Canis lupus familiaris: one gene and its partner. Each later gene encodes a partner of the first gene's protein in a complex. Links are inferred from orthologs where the notes say so. Each region holds a gene or a part of one and is shown on either strand. Other genes may lie near its edges.

Evidence for each region. The genes of interacting proteins can lie anywhere in the genome.
Region 2: the proteins of MFSD1 (region 1) and GLMP are in contact, whole or in part, in a cryo-EM structure (PDB 8R8Q), measured with the Mus musculus proteins. The link is inferred for Canis lupus familiaris from reciprocal best matches to the Homo sapiens genes MFSD1 and GLMP. Residues at the interface, in NP_080089.1 of Mus musculus: Val288, Glu292, Lys293, Arg295, Phe349, Phe351, Leu411, Asp412, Lys414, Gly415, Tyr416, Leu417, Leu418, Val421, Ile424, Ser428, Leu432, Val435, Leu439; in NP_064387.1 of Mus musculus: Glu250, Asn252, Ser253, Ile254, Asp255, Asp256, Glu257, Pro260, Ala261, Phe263, Gln264, Arg292, Phe364, Leu367, Val368, Ile371, Met372, Ala375, Ala378, Leu381, Met382, Gly385, Phe389.

Annotation. Positions count from the first base shown.
Region 1 is NC_049255.1:25,267,647-25,273,259, reverse strand, and holds part of MFSD1 (major facilitator superfamily domain-containing protein 1), read right to left. Parts: intron 4,019-5,613; coding exon 3,920-4,018; intron 3,435-3,919; coding exon 3,323-3,434; intron 2,415-3,322; coding exon 2,358-2,414; intron 1,776-2,357; coding exon 1,619-1,775; intron 229-1,618; coding exon 131-228; intron 1-130. UniProt on the Homo sapiens protein: Lysosomal dipeptide uniporter that selectively exports lysine, arginine or histidine-containing dipeptides with a net positive charge from the lysosome lumen into the cytosol.
Region 2 is NC_049228.1:41,569,094-41,575,436, reverse strand, and holds GLMP (glycosylated lysosomal membrane protein), read right to left. Parts: upstream 4,214-6,343; 5' UTR 4,174-4,213; coding exon 4,054-4,173; intron 3,632-4,053; coding exon 3,374-3,631; intron 3,192-3,373; coding exon 2,991-3,191; intron 2,874-2,990; coding exon 2,655-2,873; intron 2,234-2,654; coding exon 1,977-2,233; intron 1,869-1,976; coding exon 1,703-1,868; coding exon of another isoform or gene 1,674-1,702; 3' UTR 1,391-1,673; downstream 1-1,390. Other genes in the region: TMEM79 (transmembrane protein 79), read left to right, coding at 187-400. UniProt on the Homo sapiens protein: Required to protect lysosomal transporter MFSD1 from lysosomal proteolysis and for MFSD1 lysosomal localization.

The sequences.
Region 1 (5,613 bases):
ACTTTTCTAGTAGTTTCTAGATTCAGAGCTGTCCCAAGAGCCTGAAGAGGACTAGATTCAAGAGATCTGGAGTTTTATATGATAATCAAATTGATACAGCAAAGAGGAACATTATAGTGCAAACACTTACAAGCCATATGCAGTTCCTAGCTGATGTTCAGGAACTACAAACGCCACCATGGGCCACAACGCACAGGCAAGCAATGAATAGGAGAGTCCCAGGAGAACCTGTAGAATACAGAAAAGGGTAAAAATCTTAACGTTAACCAAAAAAAGTGGTTTTCCTTTAATGCAAATTAGCCAATCTGCGATCATTAGCAAATATATGAATATTCATGCATATTTTATTATGATTATAACTAAAACTCACATTTGATACAAGAAAGTCCTGACTCTAATAGTATCCCTCTAGTGACAAAATACACACACAGTATGTATGTATGTATTTATTTATTTATGACATAGGCAGAGACACAGGAGGGAGAAACAGGCTCCATGCTGGGAGTCCGATGTGGGACTCGATCCCGGGACTCCAGGATCACGCCCTGGGCCAAAGGCAGGAGCTAAACTGCTGAGCCACCCAGGGATCCCTTGTCTTAACCATTTTATATTATGTGTGCTTATAACTGACTGGGCCCAGGGTACAATCAAGGACTAAGCAAGAAAATAAAGCTAATTTGCAAAAAGTTACTACCAACATTTCTGGAAAGTTAATCTTCCAATATTTATTATTTACAAATTAAGCAATCAAGGCAACACCATGCCAAAAAGTCTATTATCTTACCTCAGGTCATCAACGCCTAACTGGAGAGCAGGGTAGAAAACCATTACCTAGTGTTACTTTTTAATTATAAAGGAAGCCTTATGATTTAAGTTTAAATAAGATCATTTACACCTATTATATTGGCAAAGGTTAAAATAAGGCCAATGCCCAACATGACTAGGATACTAAAAAAATGCACATTTGTGTATTATTGGTAAAACTATAAATGGGTAAGAACTTCTTAGAGGAGAAGTTTCACAACGTCTATCAAGATGTTAAGTGTGCAAAACCTTTGCTATAGCATTTATACTTCCAGGAATCTGTCCTAAAGAAATCTCACTAAGTGCAAACATATATGTTCAAGATATTCTTTTGTTAATAGTCAAGAAATGCAGCACATCTCAGCCTGTGGTCTTTAAAATGACATTCTAAAAAAGAGTAACAAAACCCTGATGAATTTTTTTAACCTTCTAAGGATCAAGGTCAAAAGAATGCAAAATCATGAATCATGGGCAGAAAGATTTTTTTTTTTTTGCCACTTATGATGGAAGAATTTCTTTTAAAGAAGTACAGAAAAATAAATGGAACTAATAAGCATTTTAGCTTTCCTAAGACTACTTTATCTCAAATTCTATTTCAGCACTGAGATTACTATGTTAAAAAGCCAAATAAAATTAAAAATATCTTATTCATTAGTAATCAAATTTACTTTTAAAATAGTTATTTTGTAGAAACTGAAGGCATTGTTTTTCCCCTTTCACAAGCTCTACTATCAGAATGAGTATATGGTGGCTCCTGACATGCACTTTTACAGAGTCTTCCCTGAAGCCCTGCCAGCATGAACAGTGACATTACCATAGCAATCCAAGGGTTCCACAGTGTGAAGGCCAGCATGATGTGGGCAGCAAGAGTGGTCACCACTGCACACAGAACCCAGATGATGTTCTTTCCTGTTTTATCCACCAGGAGCCCAAATATCGGGGACATGGGAGCTGATATAACATATACAATACTGCCCAAAGAATATAAAAGATATTTAATAAAATCATAACAGCTTTAAAAAAAAAATCCAAGAAGTCCCTAAAACCATCAGGTAAAGCAAACCCTAGCTCATTTAATTTAGCATTCTTCTAAAACGGTCATCAGAAAAAAAAATAAAATAAAATGGTCATCAGTAAACAGTATTACAATATAGTATCTTTTTATTTTTTTTTAAGATTTTTATTTATTTATTTGTGAGAGACACACAGAGAGGCAGAGACAGGCAGAGGGAGAAGCGGGCTCCCTGTGGGGAGCCTGATGTGGGACTCAATCCCAGGACCCCAGGATCATGACCTGAGCCAAAGACAGATGCTCAACCACTGAGCCACCCAGGCACCCCCAGTAAACAGAAATTTAAAGATTAAAGAGCAGCCCAAGATTTCTTCAGTTTTCCATTAATGCAAAGATGGTCTCTCAGGATCAAGTACCAATATAATGTTGATTTCGTATTATGGATGTTAAGTTACACGTATTCTTTGTCTCTTAGAACATTTGGTTATAATTAAAGACCCACCTATGCACAAAATAAGCACTCACAGAATTAATGAAATACCTGTTTATAGCACTTGCTGCCTGGGAGGAAAATCCAAATTTCTCTGTAAAGAAAACTCTAAAATAGAGAGAGACAGAGAGAGAGAAATAAGTACTTTAGAGAGAACTGCTTTTTAATAATTAAAGGCAAAATAAAACTAAATTAAAATAATTCTAAGTTTAACCAACTTTTCCTTCTTGATATTATTTTCTTACCTGATCTAACATTCATCTTTAAGCAACTGATGTTAAAGCTTTAGTGTTTATGTATTTCACTAAATAAAATACCCTGATGTTGACTTTTTTCATTTTAAATAAACAAACAGTACACATAAGTTTTCAGAATACCAAATGAATTACTACATGAAATTAAAAGTGCTTCTTTTCCTTAAAGCGGGACTGGATAGGTTCTTTGCCAAATAATGCCTAGAGATCTTGTCTCAAATAATTTAAAACACTCTGAATTTAAAGGTTCTGATTACGAAGACACACCCCTATAAACACACTCAACATACTGCTCTGTTCGAGCAGCTGCCAGGGGAAAGGCAGAGCTAAGTGATTAAAAAAAAAAAATTGATTTTTAACCCTGGCATAATGTAGTCCTAGCAAATGCGCCCAGGCATGGCACAATGAGTCAAAGCACTATTTCCATTCTTAAGAATAGGCTTCCAAACAAAGGAATAAAGAGGAAATTAAAAAAAAAAAAAAAAAAAAAAAAAGAATACTAATCCAATGCAAAGTATTAAAATAAATCTTTATTAAGATTCAAAACTGTTATATTTCATCAAAAATATAATGAAAGTATTAAGCCAAATACTAACCCTTATAAGGTAAGAAAATCAGTTATATCCCAGGATGTAAAACAATTCCTATGTAAATGTAAACTATAACCAGAAAAGCAAGATTTATAGCTAAAAAAATTGCAATTGTGTGATTAAATTCTCATTATAATTTAGCAACAACAATGGAATGCCAGAGAATACTCACTTCCCAAGTCCAATAAAAGGGAACACTGCCACATAATAGCAGACACAGATGATAAATATTAGCCACAGGGGAAAAGAGAAGTCCTTTACATCAGTTAACTTAATAACTTCACCTTAAAAAGAAAGGGAAGAAGCTATGAGCATAATTTTGCATACCCAGGTCAAGAGTACTGATTAACCTTTGCCATTCAGTTTACAAAACACTTTTCTCAGTAAAGTACTGGAACATAACTTCTGGGAAAATCTAAAAAGACATTAGAAAAAGCAAAACCTAAGATTACTGTCTACTTTCCTGCTGTCTTCCAGGAACACTCATCATTTTCCAAATACACAAAGTGCAATCAAGAATGTAAATTCTAAAAATAAAAATAAAAAAACAAAAAATAAAGAATGTAAATTCTGTCAAAAGTGCTTAAGTGAAAAAAAAAATTGTTCTCCAAAATTTAGACAAGTTGAAACAGATTGGAAAATAAAAGATAAAAGACATGTATTAAGCCTCACTGGTCTTATAACACTACATAAGGAACTTATCTCATTGTAAATTATGTTCAAAGTTCCGCAAATCCCCAAAGCCCACTTTTCTTGCATTTAGACCTACCTGTTTTTCCTTGTGCTTTGTGAAGGATCTTTTCTGCTCTCTGATCCAAGTAAGCAAGAACCAAGGCACAGATTAGTGAAAGAATACATGTTATACCCCCTATAATAAAAAAAGAAAAAGAAAAAGAGAGAGAGAGAGAGAGAGATTTTTAAAAGTGAATGAAGGTTCCCAAGAGGCAGCACCTTACAGTCATAGCAGAAAACTTAGCAATTGAAAGGGATGCCATCTTGACACATCTAAGAAAATCTTACAAATACTAAATCAGGACAGAAGGAAAGGAACAGCATGTGGTTAAGTACTCAACAAACTACAGTCACTCTTACTACATTTATTTCCCAGCAGAAGGTTGGAGACTAGAGGGAAAAGACCATAACATACTAGTCTAGTCTTGTAATCTAGAATTTCCTTAAGAAAGTGGATGACTAGCTAGCAAATCAGTACTAATATATTAACTAAGTCTAAGCACTGATTACTGATGGATGCCAGGGAGAAAAATTATAAAAACAAAGTCTGGGGACGCCTGAGTGGCTCAGCAATTTAGTGCCTGCCTTAGGCTCAGGGCGTGATCCTGAAGTCCCAGAATCGAGTCCCCATGTCAGGTTCCCTGCATGCAGCCTGCTTCTCCCTCTGCCTGTGTCTCTGCCTCTCTCTCTCTCTCATGAATAAATAAAATCTTAAAAAAAATAAATAAAAACAACGAAGTCTGATTCTCCGATCATCTCATCTTCCTCTCGATTTCTTCCCAAAGTCTGTAACCCTTGCTCCTGCCCTTTGGCAGCCCAAAGGGCTCTACCCATCCACCCACAGCACAGCTCACCCAGGCTCTCCTTCCTCTTTGTAATCAGCATTACTCACTAATGCTAAACTCCTATCATTAAACTCAATCAGGATAAAGAGTAAATAAAGTTTATACTTTCAAGACTTTTAAAATAAGTTCAGTAAAATAAATGAATCTTTAATTTCATAATGTGGTCTATCTGAAAATTGCTAAAATAAAAGTCAGTAGATGTGGGTTCTACTTCTGCCACAAGCTGAATGATGTTGAACACAGAACTTAATCTCTTAGTTAGAAGTTCAACTTCCCCATTTGTAAAACTAGAGGCTTTGACTTGACAGCACAAATCTTTCCTGGCTCTAAAATTCTTTAAAATTATTAAGTTCTCCGTTGTGGAGAGGAGTGGAAGGAATACTGAAGAGCATCTGAGAGTAAGAAAAAGAAGTTTTCGATAAGGCAAGGGATTTGAGAGGTGAGAGAGGAAAGGAGGAGACTCTAGATTTTTTACCTGTTCAAGACTTCCTCTCCACTGACCTCTTTCTATCAAGTTATATATAAGGAATAAAAGATGGCACAGAATATTCTCCCCACCATCCCACAGGTCTTTGTAGGTCTCTCCAAGTGGCCCTCTTACCCACTATGGGGCTCAGTTACAAAAATCCACTACTCAGAGAAAAGCACAGGTGGTAACTCCAGAAGGCCTCACTCATATGTGTCTCAGTGATCTACCCAGCAACCAGGACAACCAAGCCTTAGCTAAGAGAACTTAGGGCCAGAGGGACCTATACAGTTTCAGTCAAACACCTGAAATTTTACAGAAAAGAAAGCTGAGACCCAGGGGCTAATCATCTTGTCCAAGATGACAGAACTAGTTAGAGCCAGGACTAGAACCCACACTCCTGACTCCCAACACAGTGGA
Region 2 (6,343 bases), on another chromosome or scaffold:
ATTCGTCTCATGGAGATGTGAAGATGTGTACGTTGGTGTTTCTAAAGTGGTGCACGAGCATGGGCTGTTTAGAAGTATCGGTAGTACCCACTGACCCCCATCTGCTCTTCCCATCAGCCTCCAGGCCAGCTAGCTGATGCACGTCCCTCCAGAGGAGGCTGACCTCTTCTTGCCCTCCCCTCGCAGGCTCATTTACTGGCTGACCTTTGCCGTGGGCCGCTCCTTCCGAGGCTTTGGCTATGGCCTCACGTTCCTGCCCCTGCTGGCCATGCTGGTGTGGAACCTTTACTACATGTTCCTGGTGGAGCCTGAGCGCATGCTAACTGCGGCTGAGAGCCGCCTGGACTACCCCGACCATGCCCGCTCAGCCTCGGAGCACAGGCCAAGGCCCTGGGGCTGAGGCCTCTGCAGCCTCAGCCCAGCCCTGGCACCTCGGGGGAGAAGCTGCACTACTGCCCCGACTGTCCCTGCTCCCCCCGTTGGTGTAGCCCTTCACCTCAGGAGCCCGGGGCCGTCATGAGAGAGGGACTTTGACTGGTTTCTTGTGGGGAAGGAGATGGACAGCTATGTCCCTTCTGCATGCTGCAGGTAGGGCACCAGGAGCAAGGGCGTGTTTCCTTCCCCAGCAGCCCCAGCACTGCCCCCAGGACCCTGCCCCACCCTCCAGCCTCCTGCAAGGCCTCAAGCGGGCAGAGCTACGGCCAAACTGGCCGTTTCTGTGCCACTGTCTAAGTAGAGGGCCGCAGGGAGAGTGGAAACCTTGCCCAGGCTGAAGAAAAACACTGGGCATCCGATCAATCAGGACTTTCACATTTGGTGAAAACCTTCTGGAGGGCCTGGGTTCAGGACCCTCCACTGCTGGCCCTTGTGGGACCTTTAGCTTCAGTTCAGATAATTAAAGCTGCTCCAGCCCAGAGCTGGTCTCCTGTCTTCCAACCCAGTTAGGCCCCTGTAACCTCCCACCTCTGAAATGCCCACAATATGTGTCTCCCAGGGGAAGAGGTACAGGGGGGAGAAGAGGCCCGCCTCAGGGGAGGGGGAGGGGTGTGTGTGCAAGTGTACATGCGTGTGTGCCCTCACACGTGGTGGCCAGGAACTGGCTGCAGGGCCCAACAGCTGATGTCAACCCCGTGGGAGCATGTGGGTGACGAGAAGTGGCTGCCAGTCTTCCTTGGCTCTTTCTTCATGTTTGACCCCCACTCTCAGGTGTCTGTCCCTCGTCTGACCCAGAGAGCACCAGAAGCTGCTGCCCCGTTGGTGGGAGAGGAGTGTCTGCCTGGTGACGAGAAAGGGGCGCACCAGGGGAGACATGTCTACCATGCCCACATCTCAGCCTCTGGTTCCTGGAACCAGCCTAACACCTGCCCACAACATCCACACTGAGACAAGCACCAGGGAGAAAATAAGTCTATTTTGTGCCTTCTGGGGCAGCCAACCAATCAGAAGGCCTTTGATTTATGTCTGTGAGTCTCATGCCAGGAAAATGGTGGAAGGGCAGAGGAGTATCACTAAGGGACCCCCCCCCACCTCTAGCAATCACCCTGTTGCTGGTCCCTCCTGAGAGTATGATGGAAGCCCCGCCTGGGGGTTCCCTGAGGTTTTGCAGAAAAGCAAGATGGGAGAAGGGAGCAGCTAACCCTTCAACTGGCAGACCAGCAACACAGGCCCACTAGTTAATGTCCCGTCCTCCAGAGAGTGGGCCTCAGTTTATAGGCTGGTATTGGGAGCACTGCTTGTGCCACAGCAGCAGAAATATGCCTCCTGCCAGCAGCATGAGCCCTGGAGCACCCAGGGCCACTGCCATGATGCCTAGGATTAACGGGGACAAGGCGTCCACTGGAGGGGTGCCCACACCCAGGAGCATTGACCTAGGGCAGGGAGAGTGAGAAAGACAGGTAAGTAGGTTAGGCAGGAAGACCAGGAAGCCAGGCACCCCCACGTCCACTCCCAAAGCCCCAGCCTGCCCCGGCCCTCACCAACTGAGATAGTATTCGTCCCAGTAGCCGGGGCCTGTAGGAGCCCCAAATGTCAAGTTGAAGGCACAGAAGTCAGTCTGGGGCCCAAAGAAGGCTCGGACGATGGGAGACTGGGGAAGAAGGTATGCCAAGGTGGGGCGAAGAGGGGAAGCTTGGCAGGGCAGGGATGATTCCCGGCCCCTCTGCCTCTGGGCAAAAGCCACTGGCCGCCACTGCATGAAGCCCGAGGGCAGGGAGCCCCACAGCAGCTGGTCCAACTGGGAGAAAAACAACAGGATGAGGAGGACCAACCTTTGCCCACCCTCCAGTTCCTCCACCCTTCCCGGCCTCCCAAATGTTACCAACTGTCCAAAGGCCTAGGCTGCCCCCAAGGCTGCTTACATAGGGCCTCTGCCCCTCCTCTGTAGAAAGAGAGGTGGCTCGGGAACACTGGGTCCTTTCCCAGCCCTGACGTCCATAAGCCTATACTCAGCTCACAGCCCCAGGTCCCCAGGCTCCCCCAACCCCCGGCCCCCAGGCCTGGCTTCCTTTTGTCTTCCCCACTGAAGGCAGAGGCTGGGTCAGCACAGTGGCCAGCATTTGAATGAGCTGAATGGCACCACTAGTTGGTAACTGGTTACATGGTTCTTTGAAGTCCTACCATCCCCCACCCATCCGCCTCTCCGCCTGAAGACTGACCTTGAAGACTGCAGGTGCATATTCATCATCAATGGAGCGCTGCTCCTGCACTGAGGGGCAGTCGGGGGCCTGGCCCAAGGTGGCTACCTCCAGCCCAAACAGGGAGCGGTTTCCCCGGGGATAGGCCCCAAACAGGGCCACCTCTAGCTGGCAGGTGTCTGCTGAATGCAGGAGGCGCGGGGCTTGGGCTGGGCGGCTGGATCTGGTGAAAGCCTGCACCTGGGATGGGGGAAGCGGGCGAGGCATGGGAAGCAGGGACCTGCCTGTATGTGAAGGCCACCACCCCCACCCTCAGAAAACAGCCTTTGGTGTTCCTCTCATTCCCCACACCCTTACCCTGAAGGCCAGGCTGCCATTGGCAAAGGCCCCAGCGGGGTCCTGAATGGGGCGGCCTCGAAATGTGGCGCTCAGGGTAGCGAGATCCAATGAGTCAGTGATGTTGTTCCAAGAGAACTCCGCCAGGGAATACGGGGGATACGGTTTTCCCGGAGGCTTGGCTGACGCCTCAGATGTGTTGGCACTGTCAAATTCAAACAGCTGGCAGGCAGGGTGAGATGGGACAGGAGTTGCCTGAGTCTAGCTACCCCCAGAGCCACCCCCGCCCCATGGCTCCTATGCTTGACTCTACTTCCCATACCCTGGTCTTCGGTCCCCACCTTGGGCCCGGGTGAACCCTCTGCTCAGCACTCTTCCCCTTTGGCTCTCCCCAACCTCCTCACCCTGGTGAAGACAAGGGCAGAAGAAAACTGGATACTGTTCTTGGGGAGCACCGTCAGGCCCCCGTCAGGCTCAGGGGAAAGCAGGCGGCTCCAGTTGACAGTCAGGGTGCTGTGTGGGGTGTTGGTGGCCACCAGCAGCACTGCCGGTGGCCCCATGCTGCTCCACACATAGTGCAGTGTGGAGTTGCTACCCACTGCCCGGATGTGGAGCAGGTTCGGGGAGGGGTCTCGGCAGTCAGGGATGACCTCCAGAGACACCTGGAATACGGCATAGTGGAGGGTCAAGGGAACGAGGTCAGGAAAGAGGCACAGGACAGAGCAGCTGGGGAACAATGGGGAAAGGCAAGAGACGCGGTGTGGGAACTCGGGCATCTGGTTTGAGGCGCAGGCATCGGCTGGAGGGATGTGGCCTGGAGAGCCGGCCAGAGCCACAACCACCCTGACTCCAGCAGGCAGACGAGGATACGGGGCCAGGGGTGAGAAGCAGCCCAACTCTTGCTGGACCTGGGTCACTCAGGGCTGAGTCAGGCGCTGGCAGGTGTCCCCTTAAGACAGGGAGCCCGGGAGTCCCCCTCGTCCACAATCCTGTCCCAGGGCCCTGGCGGTGCCCCACCAGCCCTGCCGCTTGGGTGCCTCCCAGGGTAGCATTTCCAGGAACACCTACTGCTCTAGCCCCTCACCTGGCGAGTTTCCTCCCCCAGCAGGCCAAACGGGGCTGCAGACAGCAGCTGAATCAGGAGGAGCATGGAACTGGGGGCACAACGCCCGCAGCCCCAGCGGGGCCCCTCATGGCGGCACATGAGGCCCCAGTTGCAGAGGGCGGAAGAGACTTGGGAGTCATGTGACTCACACACCCAGCTGACCTCCTTGTGGGGCGGGGCTGCCACCAGCTCTTAAAGAGACAACTCCCTTGAGCCAGTTGAGGTTGGAGAGAGAATATAACCCCAGAAATTAGGAGCTTGTCATCCCCAGCAGGGCTCCAAGCAAGACACCCCAGACTAGACAGGTGCGTAGCCATACGGCCTCTCCTACCCAACTGGCCACACTGGCTACCTGTAATGGCCATGACGTCGGACTCCAAGATCCCAATGATCCCAATAAGCCAACTGTGCTGTAGAGAAGGAAGAGCAGAATCTGCAGAAATTAGGGGTGGGGCGGGGGACAGTATAGCCCAGTTGATTTTGCCAGTTGTTCATATTTATTGAGCCCCTAAGTAATGCAGGTTCCTGTCCCAGAAGAGCTCAGTTTTATTACGGAGAAAAGATACTTCAATAAATAGTTGAGAACACCACATACATTTTGTCAGAGTTCATATCTGGCTGAATAAATCGCTTTGTTGTTCTTGGATGTTTTTGCTTAAAATTATTTTGACTAAAAAACAATTATTTTGACTAATAATAAATGCCTATGACACAAACTTCCTAAGGTAGTGAAAGGGGTCTGTCATCTTTATTCCCCAGCAACCCAGGTCCTGAGACAACTACTGCGTTGGTAATAGTGTCATTCCAATGATGTTCCATGCAGGGGCACCTGGCCTGCTCAGTCGGTAGAGTGTGCGACTCTTGGTCTTGGGGCCTACAGTTCAAGCCCCATGCTGGGCAGAGCCCACTTAATAAAACTAAACCAAAGGCAGCCCGGGTGGCTCAGCGGTTTAGCGCCACCTTCAGCCTAGAGCGTGATCCTGGAGACCCAGGATCGAGTCCCACGTTGGGCTCCCTGCATGGAGCCTGCTTCTCCCTCTGTCTGCATCTCTGCCTGTGTGTCTCTCATGAATAAATAAAATCTTGAAAAAAAAAAAAAAAAGATGTTTTGTACACAATGTGTACACACGCACACTGCGTGTGTGCACATATATGTAATACCATGCAATGGAATCCAAACACCCTTCTGCAGTTTGCTTTTCTTTTTCACTTACACATTGAAGACTGTTCTCTGCACCTGGAACTCATTCTCCACTTAAGTATATTACTGCAGGAGGAGGTCCCAGGGATACATTTAACATAACTGTGGTACTTCCCAATTTCCCTTTGAAATGAATCTCTCTGTATGTACAGCATTTCATATACATTTGAATCCAAATATAGAAGATAAGCAGCCAGGATTCAAACTGCCAGGGCAAATTGACCTGTGTATGAGGTCTATTGATGGGCAGGCCACGTACCAGAGGGGCTTCATTAAGTGTTCACACTTACATGCATGTCCCTAACAAGTAATGTTATTAGCTCTGTGTTTGTCACTTCTCTGGAGCTTACACCCTTGGCCTATTATTTCTATGGGCCCTATCTCCTTGACTGCCAAATTCTTTTTGTTGTTTTTTTTAAGATTTTATTCATTTGAGAGAGAGAAAGCATGCATGCACACAAGCTGGGGAAGGGGCAGAGGGAGTGGGAGAAGCAGACTGAGCTGAGCAGGGAGCCTGGGGGTCTTGATCCCAGGACCCTGGGAACACAATCCTGAGCTGAAGGCAGACGCCTAACAGACTGAGCCACTCAGGCGCCCCTTGACTGCCAAGTTTTAAAAGTTCTTTAAAGAGAGATGCCTGGATGGCTCAGTGGTTGAGTGTCTGCCATCAGCTCAAGGTGTGATCCTGGGGTCTGGGATCGAGTCCTGCATTGGGCTTCTTACAGGGAGCCTGCTTCTCCCTCTATGTCTCTGCCTGTCTCATAAATAAATAAAATCTCAAAAAAAAAAAAGTTTTGTTTTTTTTTTAGATTTTATTTATTAATGTGAGACACACACAGAGAGGGAGAGAGGGACAGAGAGACAGAGACACAGGCAGAGGGAGAAGCAGGCTCCATGCAGGGAGCCTGATGTGGGACTTGATCCCGGGTCTCCAGGACCACGCCCCAGGCTGCAGGCGGCACTAAACCGCTGCGCCGCCAGGGCTGCCCTCAAAAAAAATTTCTTTAAAGAAATTACTTTTTGTATTGGAACAAATATCACCGCATCTGCAACCCCCTACTTCCTGTT